3 linked regions of the Astyanax mexicanus genome follow. The protein of the gene in region 3 interacts with the protein of the main gene of each other region in a pairwise test. Links are inferred from orthologs where the notes say so. Each region holds a gene or a part of one and is shown on either strand. Other genes may lie near its edges.

Region 1 (6,841 bases), on a different chromosome or scaffold from region 3:
CTCCAGTATCATTCATTTTACTTCAGTCCTGAATATACTGAGATATTTGAAGTGCATTATTAGTATCATGACGGTCTGGATCGTTGACTTCTGTTACAAATCTAAAAAAATCCTTGTATTTTTTTTTATATCTCAGTTAGGGGTGTGCCATTGTTGCAGAAGTGTACTTTTGAAATGTTTTTTTTTTTTTTAATTCAGTATTTTGTCATGTCGCCAAGAATATCATTAACGCAATAATACCATGAAATATCGTGATATTATTTTAAGGACATATCGCCCACCCCTAGTGAAAACCAACCAGCAATAATAAGCTCCTCCCCCAAACAAGCCCAGAATCGGTCCTGGGTACAGTGTGAAAACGGCCTTAAACGGCCTTCTTCAGAAATGACATCCACTCCAATTCCATGAGCACGCTGGTCAATGTTCAGCCTCACTAACAAGATAACACCTCACAAATACAGGTTTGGGTGTTTTCAAGTCAGTGTATATACACACACATTTTTGTACTCTTACCTTTGGAGACAAAATAGAAAAGTAGCGCTGTCCAGATTCACGCATGTACAGGTAGTACATGTTTCCTGGCTTCTTCACAACATTGCAGGCTGCGTGATGGAGGTCAGCATCTCTCTTAGCATCTTCCAAAACCTAAAATGTAAAAAATCTCAGCTCTTTTACCATATTTTTTACCCTTTAAAATGGACCATATGTAGCAGAAATACAAACATAAATCAAAGCAAAGAAATTATTTTTTTTTATCACCTTTCTGGCTTGTTCCTGCAGGTACCTTATTTGGTCAGCAATCACGGTCAACCTGTTACAAGCGTTAGCTCTGACAAATTCATCACCCTGGGAAAAAGAAACAACAACACATTAAACAACAGACGAAAAAGTGATGTATGATTGAGGAGATTTTCTCTGAAAGCACTGCTTACCTTCTGAACGTGCTGCGCCAAAGCAACAAGGTCCATTGGATCTCCGACTCGATTGGTCATGTAGGTGTTAACCAGAACCATTCCACTTGGATTGCTGTTGGTTTCCACCAAAGTGACTGAAACATTAAACATATCGAATATTAAAACCATTTTTAAGCTGTGTAATGATTTTAAAAATTCTAAATTTGATACATTTAGTAACAATGTGATATATTTTATGAATAAACTACTACCTGGTAGATTTTTATGAATAAATTAGATTTATTTAATAATATTCATGTTTTTGGGCTTATTGAAAGTTTTCAGCAATTCAGCTGAAAATGTGAAACTTGTATATTATATAGATGTATTACACACAGAGTGGTCTATTTTAAGTGCTTATTTCTTTTATTGTTGATGGTTATGGCTTACAGCCAATTAAATCCCAAAAATCTGTGTCAAAAATCAGGTCCAAAGTCCAAAGCCAGTGCAGTGTTTTCCCGGAAAAGGTCAGGTGCAAATGGACGCCATTAGGAAAATACTTATGTTAAAAATTTTGGTCTATTATATTAATAAACTAGATTTATTTTGCCCTACTCTAAGAGAATGTATTTCACACTTCTACTCAGTGATAAAACTCTTGTATCCAGACTGCAATTAAAAAAAAAACAGAATGACCAGTGAGTTTTTTGGCTTTCTTTGTCACGACATCACGTTCAGTAGCTCCTCCATTTCCACTCGCTGTTGTGTTTACGTGGATCTCCGTGGAAACGCGTTCTCAAAGTGTAATTACGGTGCGCGGCAGTGGACAAATAGCTATTTTATAAAACGCGAGGTGACGAAACCCAGAGATGTGGACTAAAATTAGCGGAGGACTATGGAGTTCAGTGAAATACAGTAGATAATTCAGACTGTAATTTTCTCAGAGAACTTTGGAAAAAAAAAACATACATGGTCGCTCTGGATGGGAATAAAATCACAGAAGACCCCAATAAAAGAGAAAATTACCCCAGAACCCCCTGAGAAACTTATCTCGTCCGGATAGGGCTTAAGACACACATTAGATGAAAGATGTTTTTATCCCATTTTTACCTTTAATTACGTAATGCTAGTGATTTTTATTAGTTAGCTTATAACAACCTGCAAAAGTTGAAGTGTTGTAGCAATAACAGAAGTGTAAGCAGTTCACGATATGAACTGTCTGCATCAATTTATTGACCTGTTGTTACTGACATGCCCCCATTTGGAAAATCCGAGTTTTTCAGCTGGTAAATACGAGTTTGTGGTGTGCTCTCATCTCGTAAATACCATTTTTCCCGACTTGGAGACGACTTGGAGGCAGCATTACAGCACTTCTTGCTTCCCTCTGCTGACAACTTTTATGGCGATGCGGATTTTATTTTCCAGCAGGACTTGGCACACTGCCCACACTGCCTAAAGTACCAATTGATCTTATATAATACTTTAATTTTCTAAAGCACTGATTTTTGGTTTTTTTTGGGGGTTTAATTTCATTGACTGTAAAACATAATCACCAACAATTAAATAAAAAAAAGCTTAAAATAGATCAATCTGTGTATAATACATCAATATAATATATGAATTTTACATTTTGAACAGAATTACTGAAATAAAGTAACTTTTCAATGATATTCTAATATTTAGAGATGCACTAGTAGGGTTATATAGCAAGTAAGACAGGCTTTTCTATTAGACAGAAAATCAGAGCTACTCTACTCTGTATTAAAGAGACACGTGTACTGTTTATTCCAGAACTGCCTGGTTGAACTGAGCAGCTGGATATTAGCATTACTGAATATTAATACAGGTTACAGCTGTGATCAGAGCTGATCTGTGGATCTTACCTGTGGTGGTTTTGTTGGGCTGATCGGGTAAACTCACTGTTTTATCCATGTTCTCTGTGCAGAAAAGGAGGATCGCTGTGCTGAGAGGTAGTTTAGTGTCTCTGTTTTCTCTGTGCAGAGGCGGAGGATCGCTGTGCGATAGTTTAGTGCCTCTGTTTTGTAACTGTTCGGTTACTGAAGTTTCATAACTGCTCAATAACTCCTGATTCGGTAAAACACGCCGAGAGCCGCACAGAGGCCACAGATTCTCTAATAGAGGAGATTACCCACTTCAGAATCTCTCCAGGGATTTTCAGCAGAGGGCGCTCGAGAGTACGGAAGCCCATTGCCGCCACCTAAAAAAAAATAATCCAGCACATTTTAAAATGATTATTAAGGAAATTGCTATCTTATTATTTTGAGATATTAGGTTATTATTTTGAGATACTATCTCATTATTTTGAGATACTATCTCATTATTTTGTGATACTTTCTCATTATTTTGTTGATAGTATTTAATTTTTTTGTGATAGTAAGTCATTATTTTGAAAGAAAAAAACGTTTTTTTCCCAAAGCAAACATACTAGCTATCTCAAAATAATGACTCACTATTTTTTTTTTAAAATACTTAGTATCTAAAAAAAAAATACTTAGTATCTCAAAATAATGACTTGCTATCTCAAAATAACGTATCTTAGAATAATGACCCTCCCCTAATCATCACATTAGGCTACTACTTTTTTTACTGTTTTTAGCAAAAAAAAAAAAAAGCACAATGTTCTCGTTATCCATTACATATGGAGATATTTGGAGTGCATTATTAGTATCATGACATTCTGCATCATTGACCTCTGTTAAAAACCTGATAAAATTCTTGTATTCTTTATTATCTCAGTTAGGGGTGTACCATATTATATTGTATGCAATAATACAATTTAATTTTCATTTTGTTGCAGTGATGTATTTTTTGGAATGTTTTATTTTTCTAATTCAGTGTTTTGTCATTTCGCCAAGTGTATTGTTATGGCAAAAATGCCATTAAATATTCTGCAGAGGCGGAAAGCATTTTTAAAGCTTCAAAGGAACACATTTCTTCTTTCATCTATTAATGAAAAAATATGGTTTAGGGTTTAGCTCATATTAGCAGTAATGCTACCACCTTTACTATCTAAAACCCTTTTGCTGTAGAAAAACAAAAATATACAGGTAAGATTTCTTAGCTTTCCTTGCAAAATAATTAAAGATACTTTCCCCAACTAAAGTAAAATCCTGGCCAAGTAGTTAGTTACTATTTTTAATTTGAAGGTTTTAGCCGATTAGCTCCATTCACCCCATTTATTTTGAACTCCTTCGAAGGCTCCCTCTAGCGGTTCCAGTCATTTTCTGATATTACGGCGGAGATATAAGGTGGACAGTCTCCTTATAAACCAGCTCTAAAGGGGCGTTTTTAGAGGTCCTTACCGCCTCCTTCTCTCAGAGTGCCTGTCTAGAAATCTAAGCGATTTTATAAGTGACTGAAAAAAGTAGTCACTGATTTAGGTAAATGTAGCTATATGTTATATTTTTTGTCTTTAAACTTATTTAGATATTTTGTAAAGCTTTACAAGTGCTTTAAATGTGAGAAAATGTTTATTCTAGTAAATCATAAGAATACTCGATCAGGCAGTTGAAAAAGACGGAAACCGCAATGGGTTGCTGGGAAATGTAGTTATTTTTTACAGAGGAATTTATTCGATTTATTATTCCTTTTTTGAACTTATTTTTAATTAATGTCTTTAAAAAATACCTTACAATAAAACGTTTGGGGTATACACATGCTTAAAGTTGACAAAAGTATATGGATATGCATTGTGTATACTTCAATTAAATGTATCTTAAATTGAATAGTGTATTAATGTTTTTTTTTTTGTTTTTCATAAATTTGGAATTAATAATTTGTTGATATAATATATTTCTTTCATTCTAATATTTACTTTTTTTTTTACCTGAGTGCATTTAAGAATGTAATGTACTTTCATTCAATTCTTCAGAAATGGGCCCAGAAATTACAACCCACCTTAATCCTTTTAGGGGCCTATCTAAGGCCCATGTGCTGTGCAATTTCTCTGTAGTAAATTTAAATTAAAGCTGGTTACAAGGTGTAAACACATTGTAAAAACACAAAATGTTGATACAGTCAGTGACACTCATTTTACAGTGGTTACCAGTATAATCTACCTCAGACATGACATTAGATCCAAGAAAAACTAAATGAATCATTTTTGGTTTGATAGTTTATAGCTTTTTTATAATTTTGCTTATAATCATTGACACTGTAGAGTCACTGAGCTGCTCAACACAGTAGTACAGGGTGGTTATATAAATGATATACACAAAGTACCCTTCCTGTCAACTTAAACCAGTATGATTATTCTCATTTATAGCAGCCATCTGAGGAAATAGGGATGTGGGGGTGGTGTTGCAGAGAAAAGCCACCACATTCCTTGCCAGTTGTAAGTAAAGGTGTTGTTATGGGGAGGGTCACTGTTTGGGAGTCGTTTAAAAATCGAATGGCCTGGGGATATTAGCTATTCAGTAACATGGCAGCCCTATATTTGCCAAATGGGAGTGTGTGAAGTGATTGGGTTGGGGTTGATTTTGTCCCTTGGAATTATATGGCCTCTGTTGAAGATCTAATTATTTTCAGTGGTGGACAGCAAAAATAAGTAAGTAATAAAAAATAAGTATTATTATAGACTGTTATATTTATAAAAAAAAAACATATTTATGTTAATTTTGTTGCAATGATACATTCTTGAAATGAATTTATATATTGCTTTTATTTAGCAAAGAATATCATTATCACAAAAATACCCTGAAATATTGTGCTGTTATTTTATCATTTAATTCATTTTGTTTCAATCAAGAAGTCTGGATGTACAGGACCAGTCAAAAGTTTAGACACACCTTAAATTTAGTGGTTTTTCATTATTTAAATGTTCTGCATTGTGGACTAATAATAAAGTAATTAAAATTATAAATACACACATTAAATTATTTAGTAAACAAAAAAGTGTTAAACAAACCAGAATATGTTTTATATTTTACATTCTTCAAAGTAGATGACAGCTTTGAACATTTTCTCAGTCAGCTTTATGAGATACCTGGAATGGCTTTCAGTTAACAGCTGTGCTGAACTTGACAAAACTTTATTACTTGAATTGCTTGCCTCTTAATGTGTTTAAGCACATCAGTTGTAAAGTTGTGAAGAGGTAGAGTTGATATAGACTATCCTCTAGTGCAGTCAAAAAGACTGTTAAAATTGTTATGATGAAACTGGCTCTCATCCGGACAGCCCCAGGAAAGAAAGAGAAAGAGTTTGCAACAGGATAAGTTCATCAGAGTTACCAGCATCAGAAACCACAAGTTAACAGTTCCCTAGATCATTTTATATTCTCTTTTTAGAACTATATTTGTTACAGATGCATATTTATATTATATTTCTCTGTCACATCAGTCACTTTCATAATCAATGTCATTGCACATTGCACTTTGCTCTGTTAATTATTTAATCACCATTAGCAACATCTACTGCACTGTTCTGTTTACAGATATATATTTACCTTGTGTAGTAAGTTTTTTTTCATAGCCTTATATATTTTCTATTCTTCTTTGTTTTAATTTATATTTGAATATGTTTCTTATTGTATTGTGTGGTTGCTGCTGGATGCCTTAATTTCCTTAGGGATAAATAAAGTATCTGTCTATCTATCTATCTATCTATCTATCTATCTATCTATCTATCTATCTATCTATCTATCTATCTTTTTGGTTTGTTTAACACTTTTCTATAAGTTTCTACATGATTTATTATGTGTTTCATCACAGTCTGGATGACTTCAGTAATTTTTTACAACGTAGGGAAAAAAGTCACACTTATAAAGTTCCAACAGTTACTGGGGGCATGTGGCCTACAGTAGATGGGGATCAACAGGACCAGGCAGGGGGTTAGCAGTGGCTCCAGAAGTGACTCCACCTCCAGCAAAACCTTCCCCCATCCAGGGCAGAGCTGTGGATGTGGATGTGGATGTGGTGACTCCAGTCTGC
Region 2 (7,099 bases), on a different chromosome or scaffold from region 3:
AAAATTCAAGCAGTCCAGCTTGGTATGATGGTTTGTGATTATCCATCTTCCTCTTGATTATATTCCAGAGGTTTTCAATAAGGTAAAATTAAAAAAACTCATCATATAAGTGATCTCTTATTTTTTTTTCAGATCTGTATTGGTTATGGTGCTGATGACACAATACATAATACATATTTCTGGATAAACTCAAAATCTCCTGACACTTTCCATGTTCTGCCTGTGTGGGTTTTCCCCCTAAAGTCCAAAAACATGGAGAGCAGGTTAACTGTATACTCAAAATTGCCCTGAATAATAATAAAGTAATGTGTAATTTGGGATAAACATATTTTTTGTGGTGTGTTGATGTCTTTATTTATGAGGTGCTCCTAAAGTATCATTGCTCCACACTGGCCAGCGTGCCAATGCAAGTGTGAATGGAAAATTTCCATTTATAAAATTATCCACATACATAAAATTATGGACAGAGCCTAAGACCTAAAAATTGGGATTAAAAAAAGCCCAATGTCAACAGCTTACTCCCAGCTTAACTTATCTATCTAGCTAACTAACTGTTCTGTTAAACTCTTCCTACAGCCCATCAGAAGTGGAAGCTAAAATAAGGCAAAGGGTGAAACACATCCTGAAGTGCGACGTCCGGCTGGAAAATCCATTCCACCCTGAAAACCTGAAGCCAGCAGACTGCGTGATAACATCCCTGTGTCTTGAGGCGGCCTGCAAAGACATGCAAGCGTATAAAAAGGCGCTAGCTGGACTGGCCTCACTGCTTCGTCCTAATGGAGCTCTAGTGATGGTGGGAGTTTTAGGGGAGAGTTTTTATGTCGTTAACCAAACCCGCTTCTCCTGTCTGCCGCTAACCGAGCAGAATATTAAAGAATACCTCAAGGATGTTGGCTTTACTGTTCATGAGTTTGAAATCTTTTCTGGACCCAAGCCAGAGAACAACGAGGTGTCCGATTATGAAGCTGTTTTTCAGCTGGTGGCTCTGAAAACTTCCTGATCTGTTGGCCTGCCTTTGTAACGGTCACTGCCACCAACACACTTTTGAGATTATCATCATAATTTTCTTCAATTTAAAGTGAAATAACCTTTAACAATAAAAATATCCAAAATAATAGACAAAAAGTGGTGCAATTTGCAGCCTTTTGGATTTCTTTTTATTTCTGCATAAATATGACCTAAAATGTAAGTGCTAAAACCAGATAAGGAGAACCTAATCAAACAAATTACAAAAATATTAGACATGTTCAATTATTAAATGTTAAATGATAAAAGAGGTTCTTCTAGCCTTTAGGATAACAATAAGCAGCCCTCTGTGGCATGATGTTGCCCTTAGATAACAGACCACTTTTATGATTACATTATTCCTTAATTTTGTTACATGTAAAGAATTGCGATTAAAATCTTTAAAAGCCTATTCTGTTTTGTTTTATTTTTTTTCAATGATTCTCCATCATCTGTATTTCAAATGTTTTATATACTTGACGTGCAGCATCAGATACCAGGGTGATGCTTTATTTTTTAGATATGAAAAAAAAAAAAATTAAAAGTGAATTTCAGTTACATAATAGCAAAGTGAAATAAAATAAATTTATGTTCAGTCAAAGTCCATCGGCACAACCCTAATTCAAGATTTCACAATGGTCTACATAATGCCTAAGAAGCTATGAGATTAATGACTAGTGTCCACACACCGGACTCTCCCTGCCTCATTATGCCCACCATGTATCTAAGCAGATTCATAAACAAAATGTTTAATTTTAACATTTTGTTTTCAGAATTACATCATCCAATGGGAATTGTTAATCATAGTTCCCAACTTTTTTCATAAATTTTGCTGCAGACTCTATGAAAATACATAAATCTAAAAAAAAAAAAAACTTTTTACCTCTTGTCCTAAATCAATGTCCCCCGAATTTCCACATAATCTGCTTTAGCCATCATCACAGTTCCTACTAGAACAAGAGGAACAAAGTGCTAGATGCTAGTTTACCTTTTAAACTTTATTTTGACAATGTTATTTAAATAGCATTTTTTAATCTAAAAAAATATTACACGAGTTAGACCTTCTCTTAAACTAGAAGATGAAGCGCAGAGAAACGGGTCAAAGAGTCTAAAAGCGGAGAGAGTGCGCATTTATAGCGCAGAGAAACGGGACCAAAGAGTCTAAAAGCGAAGAGAGTGCGCATTTCTAGCGCAGAGAAACGGGTCAAAGAGTCTAAAAGCGGAGAGAGTGCGCATTTATAGCGCAGAGAAACGGGACCAAAGAGTCTAAAAGCGAAGAGAGTGCGCATTTCTAGCGCAGAGAAACGGGCCAAAGAGTCTAAAAGCGGAGAGGGTGCGCATAGTTGCCGTAATTAAATAGTTTAATATTAAGAGACATCATGAAATTAAACATCAGTTTGAAAAATCTTAGTTTACACAACACTGTCAAAGACAAAGATAGTAAGTCAAGCAAAATGGTGTGTAAATGAAAGTAATCAGGAAAAAAGTATTATTTAAAGTGGTATTATTCATTATTTGTTTTATTACAGAGTGTGGCCCGTGACTTCAAATATATTTCTCCTTCTGGCCCCCAAAAAAAAAAAGTTTGGACACCCCTGCTCTAGTCAGTGCTCATCCTCTGTAAACCGTTTAGAGGGAAATTACTTGTTTTCCGTTTGTTCAACAATGCTTGACTAATAATGGACAAATACAGGGCTATGTGGTTGCTATGGCAATGTTTTTTTTTTTAAATCTATGGGCTGAAGTGGTATTGCTAAATGTTATTTGTTAAAGGCCATTCTTTTCACTTTTTCAGTTTGAAAAAGTAAAAAAAATATTCTAAATATATATTCTTTGCATCTGTAAATTACCTGCAAAAATAAAATGTTATAATTCGACTAAGCTTGTTGACTTATACACTTGCACAGTCATGTAAGTGACAAAGATTCCTGGATACATTAATTTTAGTGCAAGTAAATAATTTATATCTTACTCTATTTATTAATTTTTCCAACTTAAATTATGAACTGAATTTAATTATAAAATAAACTTTTAAATTTTTGCTGGAAAACACTTTAAAATAGAAGAAACCTCACTTTTTTATTCCCAAATGGAAAGACAAACCTTTGAGCCACCACCAGATAAATTTAGCAGAAAAAAAGTACTGAAAAAAAACAAACAAACAAATAAAGTATCAAAAGGCAAATGAGAAAACCTGGTCTCATGTCTCTGTTGCAGCTCAGGCTAAAGGGCGACTCTGCAGCGCTGATGGGCTGCTGGGCGTCTCGGTGCTCAATGCAGCTTACACTCTGACAGCAGCGACTCCAACAGGACAATCACAACAGGGTGGGCTGGAGGCTACGGGACCAGTTCTGTAACACTGAATCACAGCAGGTTAGGTAAGGATGCAGTCCAGCTATCGACCGACAGCTAGACCCAACACAGTCTCTCATCCAAAACTCTCCTGGTGAAACAATTCAGTTTAGTACTTGTAAGTATAAAGAAGAGACACATACAGGTCACAAACCTAAAACAGTGCTTATTTCTTGCTTTAAAATTAATCCATAAATCACTTCCAGGAAGACATTTATAATTAAACTAATAAAAAGACCTAAACCTGCTGGCCTGTTTCTGAATTAATGGCTCAGTACAGCTTTGCAAATTTCTCTGCTTCTGCAGATGTGCTGAATCAGCTGTCCCTGAGAACAAAACTTTAAATACTTACATACAGTTTTATATGAATAGTGTATAATATTATGTATTTTGTTGTTATTTGTTTTTTCATTGCTCATTTATTATTATTATTATTATTATTATTATTATTATTATTATTATTATTATTATTATTATTATTATTACCTATCATTTACACATTTGCAATAACTCGCATAAATAATTACAGGAGTTTCGGTTGTTTAATTCACCCAAATAGAAAAGAATTACCGTATAAAAAGAAAAGTAAACTTGCTAAAGTGGTTCCGCGCATGCGCACAGGTGTTGAGAAGCACATTTTGATGGGTAGCACAACTCGACAGAACACCGGCCCTCCCGCCCCTGCTCCTGTTCGTTCTCTTTTGGAGTGACGGGCTCGCTCGTCATTTCCTTTTCGCCCCGGTCTCTCACTCCGTGCAGATCTAGGATGCAGAGCTGCAGTTTTAGATCACTTTAATCTCTAACCTGTCCTCCTCCACCTCCTCCTCTCCTCTCCTCCTCCTCCTCCTCCCCGGCCGAAGTCCGTCTCTCTGTCCGCACAGCGCGCTCTCTTTCTCCGCCTGAGCTCCTCCAGCACCGCCGCCGCCGCGCTGCAGCCATGCCCAACATCGTGCTCTTCAGCGGGAGCTCTCACCACGACCTGTCCCAGAAGGTGGCGGACCGCCTCGGACTGGATCTGGGGAAAGTCATCACTAAGAAGTTCAGTAATCAGGAGACCTGGTAGGTGGCGGATATGTTTATAATAAGTGCTTCATTTACTGTTATTAACTGATTAGCTGGGGAGATTGATCGCTCGCTCTGGTTTTAAACATCTGTCTGTATGAAGTTCAGTAGGCAGGTAGTTCAGTAGTTAGCTCTGGTAGCTAACGCTAACTTTTCCCCTCTGCCCGCCCACATGTGTTTACAGTCCAGACAGACAGTCAGCTTTAGCTATCTAGCCCCTGGTAGCTATAGCTAAAGGATGTTAGCTAGCCTTAGCATTTAGCTGGTTAACTAGATATAGCCAGAAGTTTCAGTAACAATTTTAGTAGTTTGCAAATTTAAGCTCTTTAAAAGCAAACCAGTCAATTTCAGTTAGTTTATCTGTGAATATATCTAATTAGCTAGCTAACTAACTATAAATCTGCTCGGTGAGCTCTGCTTAAGGGTCGCCCAGGCTTCATGTTTATCATTTCAGCCTAGCAGTAACATTTGCAAAGCTAACTAGCTAAGTGGGCTAAAAACTAATAACATTAGCTTAGCATAACGACAGCAGACTACTTCAGAAAATTAACTTTTCTAATTTGTATTAGTGTCAGTAAAAATAGGACTAATTATTGTATTAGTATAGAGTTTGGAACAATTCATAAAACTTTTAAATACTAAAATGTTTTCTTCAGAATAATACATATGTGTAGTAGAATGTATAAGATATAAAACATACATATAAAATATAAATCCACACAAAATGATAATAAAGATCCTACTGTAAAGAAGGATATAGATAAAATACAAACTGCGACATGAAAATATAATATTTTGGCAAGTAAAAGTAGTACTAGTATATATTTTTATTTAGTACAGTTTAGTATTAAAAAAAATATATGATTTCCTTAGAAAATGCACCTTTTCTAGTTTTATCAGTAGAAATAGCAATAGTAGTTTCAGTAGTATATGTTCGGTGCAATACATACAAATCTAAAATACAAACATAGCAAATTGTGATTTCTTCAGAAAATTTTATATTAATTTCAATGAAAGAATCAATAATTGTTATATTGGTATAGTTTTCGGTACAATACCTAAAAGTTTAAATTCTAAGATAAAAAGTTAAGATATAATTTCTATTTTTTTTTGTATTAGTAAAAGTAGTAGTAATAGTTGCAGTAGTATATATTTTAGTATGATACCTAAATATATAAAATACAAACTACAACATGAAAATATAATATTTTGGAAAGTAAAAGTAATAATAAATAATACTATTTTAGTACAGTACATACAGTATAAAATACACAAAAAGGAAAAGAAAATTCTCTAGTTTTAAATGTAGAAGTAGCACTGATAGTTGAGGTAGTATAAATTTACAATACAAAAATATCTATTATAAAAACATAACAAATTGTGTTTTCAGGAAATTAACTTTTCTCTTTTTTTATTAATATCAGTAAAAGTATGAATAATGGTTGTATTAGTATATAGTTATTAGTATGTGTATGTTACTTAGTTACTGTTTTTTTAGCCACTGTATAGCTAAAGCTAGGCGATACATCAATATAGGTGTATTAAGGATATTGTCAGTGCTTAAATGACACTGACCCAACTGTACATTTCATTACAAATACATTTAGGCTAAAAACTCCTGTTACGTCCATCACACCTGTGGTTTAACTAGGAGCCTAGTGCATGCCAAATCTTTCATGATTAACATTTTAATTTAACATAACAGTCGTTCTAGCTTTTAGAAAAATGTGTTTGGGGGAGGAGGGTGGTGCACTATAGGCTACTGTAGTAGCTTTTATACTTAAAAAGTTTTAAGTAGTTTTAAGTAGTTTTGAGACCAGTACATTTACATTTTTACTTGAGTTGATACATTAACTTCTGCACAAGTATTTTTAAATCCTAGTATCTATACTTCTAGTAATGAAACTGATAGCAGCAGTAGTGTTCCTGAGTAGGGAGAGGGCAAAATATATAGTAAAAGGCATCAGTGTGCTTCTGCCATTGTTCCTGCAAAGACACATTTATTCATTTAAAAAACAGGGTGCCTGGTAGGTTCCTTTTTCTGGCTGTGGCAGCTTTTGCTGCTTTTCATGAGCAAACATTGTGCTGCTAATTGTCACTAAAATTACCAGATTTATTCATTCTGAATGGTGACTGCACCACAATGCATGTTTAAAAAGTATGTTTTAAGCATAATCTGTGCAATTACACATTCTCACCAAAAACTGAAGAGCCAAGCTATATATATATATATAGTTGCGTTAACTGCTTAATTACTGTTCTTTGTTATTTTTTAGCCCAACCAGTTCCTTATTAGTGATCCTTATTTCTGGGATGTATTGTGGGTAAAACATTCTCCTTCAGGTCATGCATCTGTATCTAAATGGGCGTTGATGGTAGTCAGAACTTGTTTTCTTAAGCTTCCACATCATGGATGTCATATATTGCTGGTCTTATTTACTCCTCTAAAACATTTTGATGCCTTTTTGAATTAATTGTTCTTTCAATGATTGCAAAGCATTCAGGCAGTCCTGAGGCAGTAAAGCAGCCACATGCCTTAATGCTCCCCCACCATGTTTTACAGTTGGAATAATTTTTTTATGTTTGTGTTCGTTGTTCTTTTCCTCAACATGTAGTGTAATGGGTCTTAGATAAAGTCTGTTTTCTCACCTGTACATACATTATATCAGTATATTACGAT
Region 3 (7,028 bases):
CTCATCCCCTCCCCTACTGGCTTTTTGTTTCCAAATAGGGATCTGCAAAACAGAACAAGTACAACAAAACCAATATCAAAACAGTAAAAAAAAAAACACAAACAGCCTCAGTTATATACTCTCATTACATTTTAACAGAGCACTCACAGTTCTTTTTTCATTGGATATAAAAACTGCATACACCTCATCCACTGGACAGGTCTCCTGGTCCTTAATATATTCACACAATTTCCAAACATTCTCCTCACTGTAGAATAAAACAAAGACTTTCACTAAGTTAATAGCAGACACACAAATGACATGACAACATACACATCATCGCTGTCCAGAAAATAAAATGTGTATCTCAATCATTAAAACTTTACACAAGACATTCAATGGAGTTAATGTAAAACATCAAATATTTCAATCAAATATTTCAAGTAATTTTGGAGCATTTATACTGGTCCATTTATCATGGAATCTGGAATTAACATAACACCTGCTAAATTTACAGTTTCAAAAAGAGAAACATGGCAAAAACAGAGAGACAAGGTTTTTGCATCAACATATATTTGAGACTATGCATAATGCATATTAACAGCCTAAGTAATTGAAAAATTGAAAAAAGAACAAGTTGGCACTGCCACATCCACAGATACATAATGTTCAAGAATAAAGCCTCTCTGTAAGAACTAACACTCTTTATAAGATATAAAAATGGACTTTGCGACCATTGCTGAAAATACATTTAATAACATAAAAGTTATACATAAGTTATTTCTTTACAACAGCATATTCCACAGCAAGAAATATTACGATACATTTAAAGAGAGTTTTTAAAATAATTTCCTTTATAAGAAATACTGATATCACATGCACTTCAAAGTCAAAGTGTTTTTTTTTTGGTCATTTCAGCTATATACAGAGTACACAGTGAAACGAAACAACTTTCCTCCAAGGACCATGGTGCACATAAACACAGTGTAGACAGAACAATAGTGCAACAGTACAAAAGTGCAGACAGACAATACAACACAATACAGACAAAGAATAATAAATAACAAGACAGTGTGCAAATTTTGCAGTGTGCAAAAAAGACCAGGTGAGGTAGTAATTACTCTATTACACAGTGTGCAATAGAGTCCAGTGAGGTAGTAGGGTTTTTAGTGCTTTCCATTTTCTGGGGTAAGTGGGGTAAGAGTGTGTGTGCATGTACAGAAAAACCATCAGTTCAGTCTCTGCAGTTAAGGAGTCTGATGGCTTGGGGGTAGAAGCTGTTGCAGAATCTGGTCGTGCTGGACCGGATGCTGCGGTACCTTCTTCCCGAAGGCAGGAGGGAGAATAGTTCGTGTGAGGGATGAGTGGGGTCATTCACAATGCTGGTTGCTTTGCGGATGCTGCGGGTGGTGTAAATGTCCGTGATGGAGGGGAGAGAGACGCCGATGATCCTCTCAGCTGTCCTCACAATACGCTGGAGGGTCTTGCGGTCAGAGACGGTGCAGGTCCCAAACCAGGCAGTGATGCAGCTGCTCAAGATGCTCTCAATGGTCCCTCTATAGAAGAGTGTGAGGATGGGTGGAGGGAGACGGGCCTTTCTCAGCTTCCGGAGGAAGTAGAGACGCTGCTGGGCTTTCTTGGCTGTAGAGCTGGTGTTCAGGGTCCAGGTGAGGTTATCTGCTAAGTGGACACCAAGGAACTTGGTGCTCTTAACAATCTCCACAGAGGACCCGTCGATGTTGAGTGGAGAGTGGGTGTGTTGTGCTCTCCTGAAGTCAACAACCATTTCCTTTGTCTTGTCCACATTCAGGTGAAGGTTGTTGACTGTACACCAGTCTGTCAGCCGCTGCACCTCCTCTCTGTATGCTGACTCGTCGCCTTTATTTTCAGTAATAAATTTTACATTTTTTACATTCCTGATATATTTTGAAATCAATACTTATGTTTACCTGTGGTTTAATTTCCCGTTAATTTTAATAATGCTTTGTAAGTAGAGCCTGTTAGTTAACTGCTGTCAGTTAAATGTGTTCTATACTGAGTGCTTTAGGATGTTTTGAATTAATGATGCATACAAATAAACATTTAGTAATGAAAAATATATTTCATTAGGTTTGGGTATTTAAATGTTCACCCATGAACCCATTACTGAAAACTAAAAGATAAAAAGCCTTTTAAGATATTCTGCAAAATATAGAGCCAACACTTAACTCAGCAAACATACAACATTAACACAAAATTGTCTGTTTTCTAACAATATTCCCAACAAGAACTAATTAAGTTAATTATGTTTTTTCATAAGAAAATCATTATATTACATTATATTTAATATCAGTATATTTGTAACACATTGTATACGGTGTATATAATCAGGAAAGATAAAAAAATAAAAAATAAAAATCCTGTTTGTTTTCTAAACAAAACAAAATGAAGACTAATCAAAACAAATGAAAAATTGTTTAAGACTTATTCATTTATTTATAATCATTTATTAGTTTTCATCTCTAGAGAGCATGGCCTTAATAACTTTAATAAATGTAATACATTTATGCTCACTAAGCTAAATATAATTGATTTGATAGGGATTATCAGACAACATTAAAATCACGTTGGGATTAAAATGCATTAGAAAAAAAAATGTAACTCGAAGTTTTGCAGATTGAAAAGCTAATTCAGGTGAAGTACCTCAGTAATATAAACAATGCAGAGCATTTAACTGTCAGCTTTCTCCAGTCCCACAGCGATAATTCACAGTTATTGTTAGTGAATTAGCGTCTGAATGACTGAATGAATGAGAAAATGAGTGTGAGAGAGATCAGTACCAGTAGCAGCTCGTATACACACATTCCTGCCGCGGCGGAGCGATCACTGTGTATTCTGGAGACGCGCCCTCCTCTTCTACCATGTTCTCAGCGCTTATATTACACTAAATTAAACACTACTGATCGGAGATGATCATTATAAACAGAGAAAACTCCTTAACAAACACATATACAGCCGCCCAGCCCATCTGTACACAGTGTGCTACAGTTCTTTAGTCCGGTGTTCTGAAAATCTGTGCTACCTTATCAGATTGTGCTACCGTAGCGCATTTTTATAGACATAGCTGTCGGATTGTGCTACCGCGTCGAAATGTCCTACCGCACAGCGCATTTCTTAAAGGGGCAGTAACTCGCCTATAAAGTAATAAAGCACGTGTTTTTTACCCTTTCTGCTTACTCCAGTGACGAAATTACCTTATCAGAATGCGTTACTAGTATCAGTACTGCAGGTAGGATAGATTTATAGACTAAATTACCTTATCAGAATGCGCTACCAGCATTTACACTGTAGGTAGGATAGATTTATAGACTAAATTACCTTATCAGAATGTGCTTCCAGCATTTACACTGTAGGTAGGATAGATTTATAGACTAAATTACCTTATCAGAATGTGCTACCAGTATCAGTACTGCAGGTAGGATAGATTTATAGACTAAATTACCTTATCAGATTGTGCTACCAGCATTTACACTGTAGGTAGGATAGATTTATAGACTAAATTACCTTATCAGAATGCGCTACCAGCATTTACACTGTAGGTAGGACAGATTTATAGACTAAATTACCTTATCAGAATGTGCTACCAGTATCAGTACTGCAGGTAGGATAGATTTATAGACTAAATTACCTTATCAGAATGCGCTACCAGCATTTACACTGTAGGTAGGACAGATTTATAGACTAAATTACCTTATCAGAATGTGCTACCAGTATCAGTACTGCAGGTAGGATAGATTTATAGACTAAATTACCTTATCAGAATGTGCTACCAGCATTTACACTGTAGGTAGGACAGATTTATAGACTAAATTACCTTATCAGAATGTGCTACCAGTATCAGTACTGCAGGTAGGATAGATTTATAGACTAAATTACCTTATCAGATTGTGCTACCAGTATCAGTACTGCAGGTAGGATAGATTTATAGACTAAATTACCTTATCAGAATGCGCTACCAGCATTTACACTGTAGGTAGGATAGATTTATAGACTAAATTACCTTATCAGAATGCGCTACCAGCATTTACACTGTAGGTAGGATAGATTTATAGACTAAATTACCTTATCAGAATGCGCTACCAGCATTTACACTGTAGGTAGGATAGATTTATAGACTAAATTACCTTATCAGAATGCGCTACCAGCATTTACACTGTAGGTAGGATAGATTTATAGACTAAATTACCTTATCAGAATGCGCTACCAGCATTTACACTGTAGGTAGGATAGATTTATAGACTAAATTACCTTATCAGAATGCGCTACCAGCATTTACACTGTAGGTAGGATAGATTTATAGACTAAATTACCTTATCAGAATGCGCTACCAGCATTTACACTGTAGGTAGGATAGATTTATAGACTAAATTACCTTATCAGAATGCGCTACCAGCATTTACACTGTAGGTAGGATAGATTTATAGACTAAATTACCTTATCAGAATGTGCTACCAGTATCAGTACTGCAGGTAGGATAGATTTATAGACTAAATTACCTTATCAGAATGCGCTACCAGCATTTACACTGTAGGTAGGATAGATGTATAGACTAAATTACCTTATCAGAATGTGCTACCAGCATTTACACTGTAGGTAGGATAGATTTATAGACTAAATTACCTTATCAGAATGTGCTACCAGTATCAGTACTGCAGGTAGGATAGATTTATAGACTAAATTACCTTATCAGAATGCGCTACCAGCATTTACACTGTAGGTAGGATAGATTTATAGACTAAATTACCTTATCAGAATGTGCTACCAGTATCAGTACTGCAGGTAGGATAGATTTGTAGACTAAATTACCTTATCAGAATGTGCTACCAGCATTTACACTGTAGGTAGGATAGATTTGTAGACTAAATTACCTTATCAGATTGTGCTTCCAGTATCAGTACTGCAGGTAGGATAGATTTATAGACTAAATTACCTTATCAGAATGCGCTACCAGTATCAGTACTGCAGGTAGGATAGATTTATAGACTAAATTACCTTATCAGAATGCGCTACCAGTATCAGTACTGCAGGTAGGATAGATTTATAGACTAAATTACCTTATCAGAATGTGCTTCCAGCATTTACACTGTAGGTAGGATAGATTTATAGACCAAAATACCTTATGGTTCTACCAAAAAAAATCAAGAGACCACTTCAAAATGTTCAGTTTCTCTGATTTTGCTATTTATAGGTTAATGTTTGAGTAAAATTAACATTGTTTTATTCTGAACTACTGACAACATTTCTCTCAAATTCCAACAACCACAACAAAAATATCATTTAGAACATTTAAATGTAGAAATAGAGAAATCATCAGAATAACAAAATAAAGATGCAGGGCTTTTAGACCTCAAATAATGCAAAGAAAACAAGTTCAACAATTAATGTTTTAAGAGTTCAGAAATCCGTATTTAGTGGAATAAAATGGGAGGGGGGAGAGGGGGGAGGGGGGAGAGGGAGAGGAAGAGAGGGGGGGGAGAGGGAGGGAGAGAGGGAGTTTAATTGTTTGAACATTTTGTACAGTAGTAATTGTTTCCCTTGTTATACTGTGCACACTCAAAGTGTGCCCACCTACTGCAGAGCTCACACTGCACCTGAAAATAAACCACAAATCATTAATCAAAACAGTGCAGTTGAACAAAAGAAAATGCTGGAGTGTCCAATATGGACAGTTTCACCATTGTGATGAAACTGTCAAATTATGACAACATTATATTTATATTAAAGTAGAACACATTAACAATCCCTGCATAAATAACCCTATAGTCTCTGTCCCTTAGCCTTGTTCTGTTAAGACCTTGAACTGTGTGTGACAACTTATTCTGAAGCAAAAAAATGGACGTGTTGATTTAAATACAGTTTACTGGCATGAAAAAAATTACCATTTCGATTACGCTCTTGTCGGCATCACTTTCCAGCATGGAACAAATTATGCAGTAGTCCTCAGCGTTCCCTATTAAAAATATTTACCTGGTTAAATGCCAAGGCACTCCATTATGCAGATGTGTATATTATGTAATAATCTGAGCAGCCAATCATTTGACAACAGTACAATGCATATAAATGATCAGAAGATACTACAGGATCAGTGATTTTACATACTAGATTACCTTATCAGAATGTTCTACCAGCATCAGCGCTGTAGGTAGCATAGATTTATAAACTAAATTACCTTATCAGAATGTACATCCTGGATCAATTCAACAGGTTGGAACATTTTATTACAGAATGGAAACGGCATTACTCTAAAACTCACCACGGCATTCAAGCAAAGAACATGCTATTTGCATGCGTGCACTGCTCACAGCTCCTGGTGTTGTCTGAAGTGTGCGGACATCTCCACTCAGAAGAAAATCTTCAGAAAACTAAAATTTAAGAATAACATTGTTATGAAATGATAAAATTGTTTTTCATACAATTTACTTGACAATCATAATTATAGTAACACAAAAAATAATATGTACCTTCAACACCAATACTCCACAGCTGCTGGAGTCTTGCTGCACATTGTGCTGCATTGGCAGCACCCGCCATTCAGCTCTGTGGTCCTTGTGATCCAGAGTCTTCAAAAAATTCCTTCAATTTTTTGGAGTTGCATGTTATCAGTGTGGCTTCCAATCTGATAGTGCCAATGTATTTAATAAAGGAATGTGTCTGAAAATCTTACCTCCAGTTCCTTAGAATTTTTCTTTCTAGGGCACTTTCTTGTCCCATTGGATCAATGACTTTTAGTACCTTCTCAGACATGATGATGATCTGATGTATTTAAAAAAAAATACAAATATAAATGAATGAATAAATTTATGCAATAGTACTGGACAATTGTGTCATTTCATGCACATTTTAGACTTTTAAGCACATTGATTAAAGCTGGAAAATGCTAAAACGGGCCGCTCTGTGACCAGAGATAATAATCTCTCCCTGCAAACTGAAGTAAAAACAAACATCTGGGGAAAAACATTCTACACATTCTACAACCATTCTACAAGATTTCTGAAATGAAGTAAAGCAGG

Evidence for each region. The genes of interacting proteins can lie anywhere in the genome.
Region 1: the proteins of wdyhv1 (region 3) and c24h1orf50 interact in binary tests that used the Homo sapiens proteins (3 or more experiments, as listed by UniProt). The two-hybrid records come from large-scale screens. The link is inferred for Astyanax mexicanus from reciprocal best matches to the Homo sapiens genes NTAQ1 and C1orf50.
Region 2: the proteins of wdyhv1 (region 3) and ribose-phosphate pyrophosphokinase 2 interact in binary tests that used the Homo sapiens proteins (3 or more experiments, as listed by UniProt). The two-hybrid records come from large-scale screens. The link is inferred for Astyanax mexicanus from reciprocal best matches to the Homo sapiens genes NTAQ1 and PRPS2.

Annotation. Positions count from the first base shown.
Region 1 is NC_064431.1:5,846,530-5,853,370, forward strand, and holds the start of c24h1orf50 (uncharacterized protein C1orf50 homolog), read right to left. Parts: upstream 3,028-6,841; 5' UTR 2,826-3,027; coding exon 2,777-2,825; intron 1,049-2,776; coding exon 933-1,048; intron 847-932; coding exon 760-846; intron 646-759; coding exon 514-645; intron 1-513.
Region 2 is NC_064428.1:22,490,864-22,497,962, reverse strand, and holds the start of ribose-phosphate pyrophosphokinase 2, read left to right. Parts: upstream 1-4,072; 5' UTR 4,073-4,294; coding exon 4,295-4,416; intron 4,417-7,099. Other genes in the region: zgc:64002 (nicotinamide N-methyltransferase), read left to right, coding at 577-1,000. UniProt on the Homo sapiens protein: Catalyzes the synthesis of phosphoribosylpyrophosphate (PRPP) that is essential for nucleotide synthesis.
Region 3 is NC_064410.1:47,214,025-47,221,052, forward strand, and holds the start of wdyhv1 (protein N-terminal glutamine amidohydrolase), read right to left. Parts: upstream 3,017-7,028; 5' UTR 2,882-3,016; coding exon 2,799-2,881; intron 248-2,798; coding exon 148-247; intron 43-147; coding exon 1-42. UniProt on the Homo sapiens protein: Mediates the side-chain deamidation of N-terminal glutamine residues to glutamate, an important step in N-end rule pathway of protein degradation.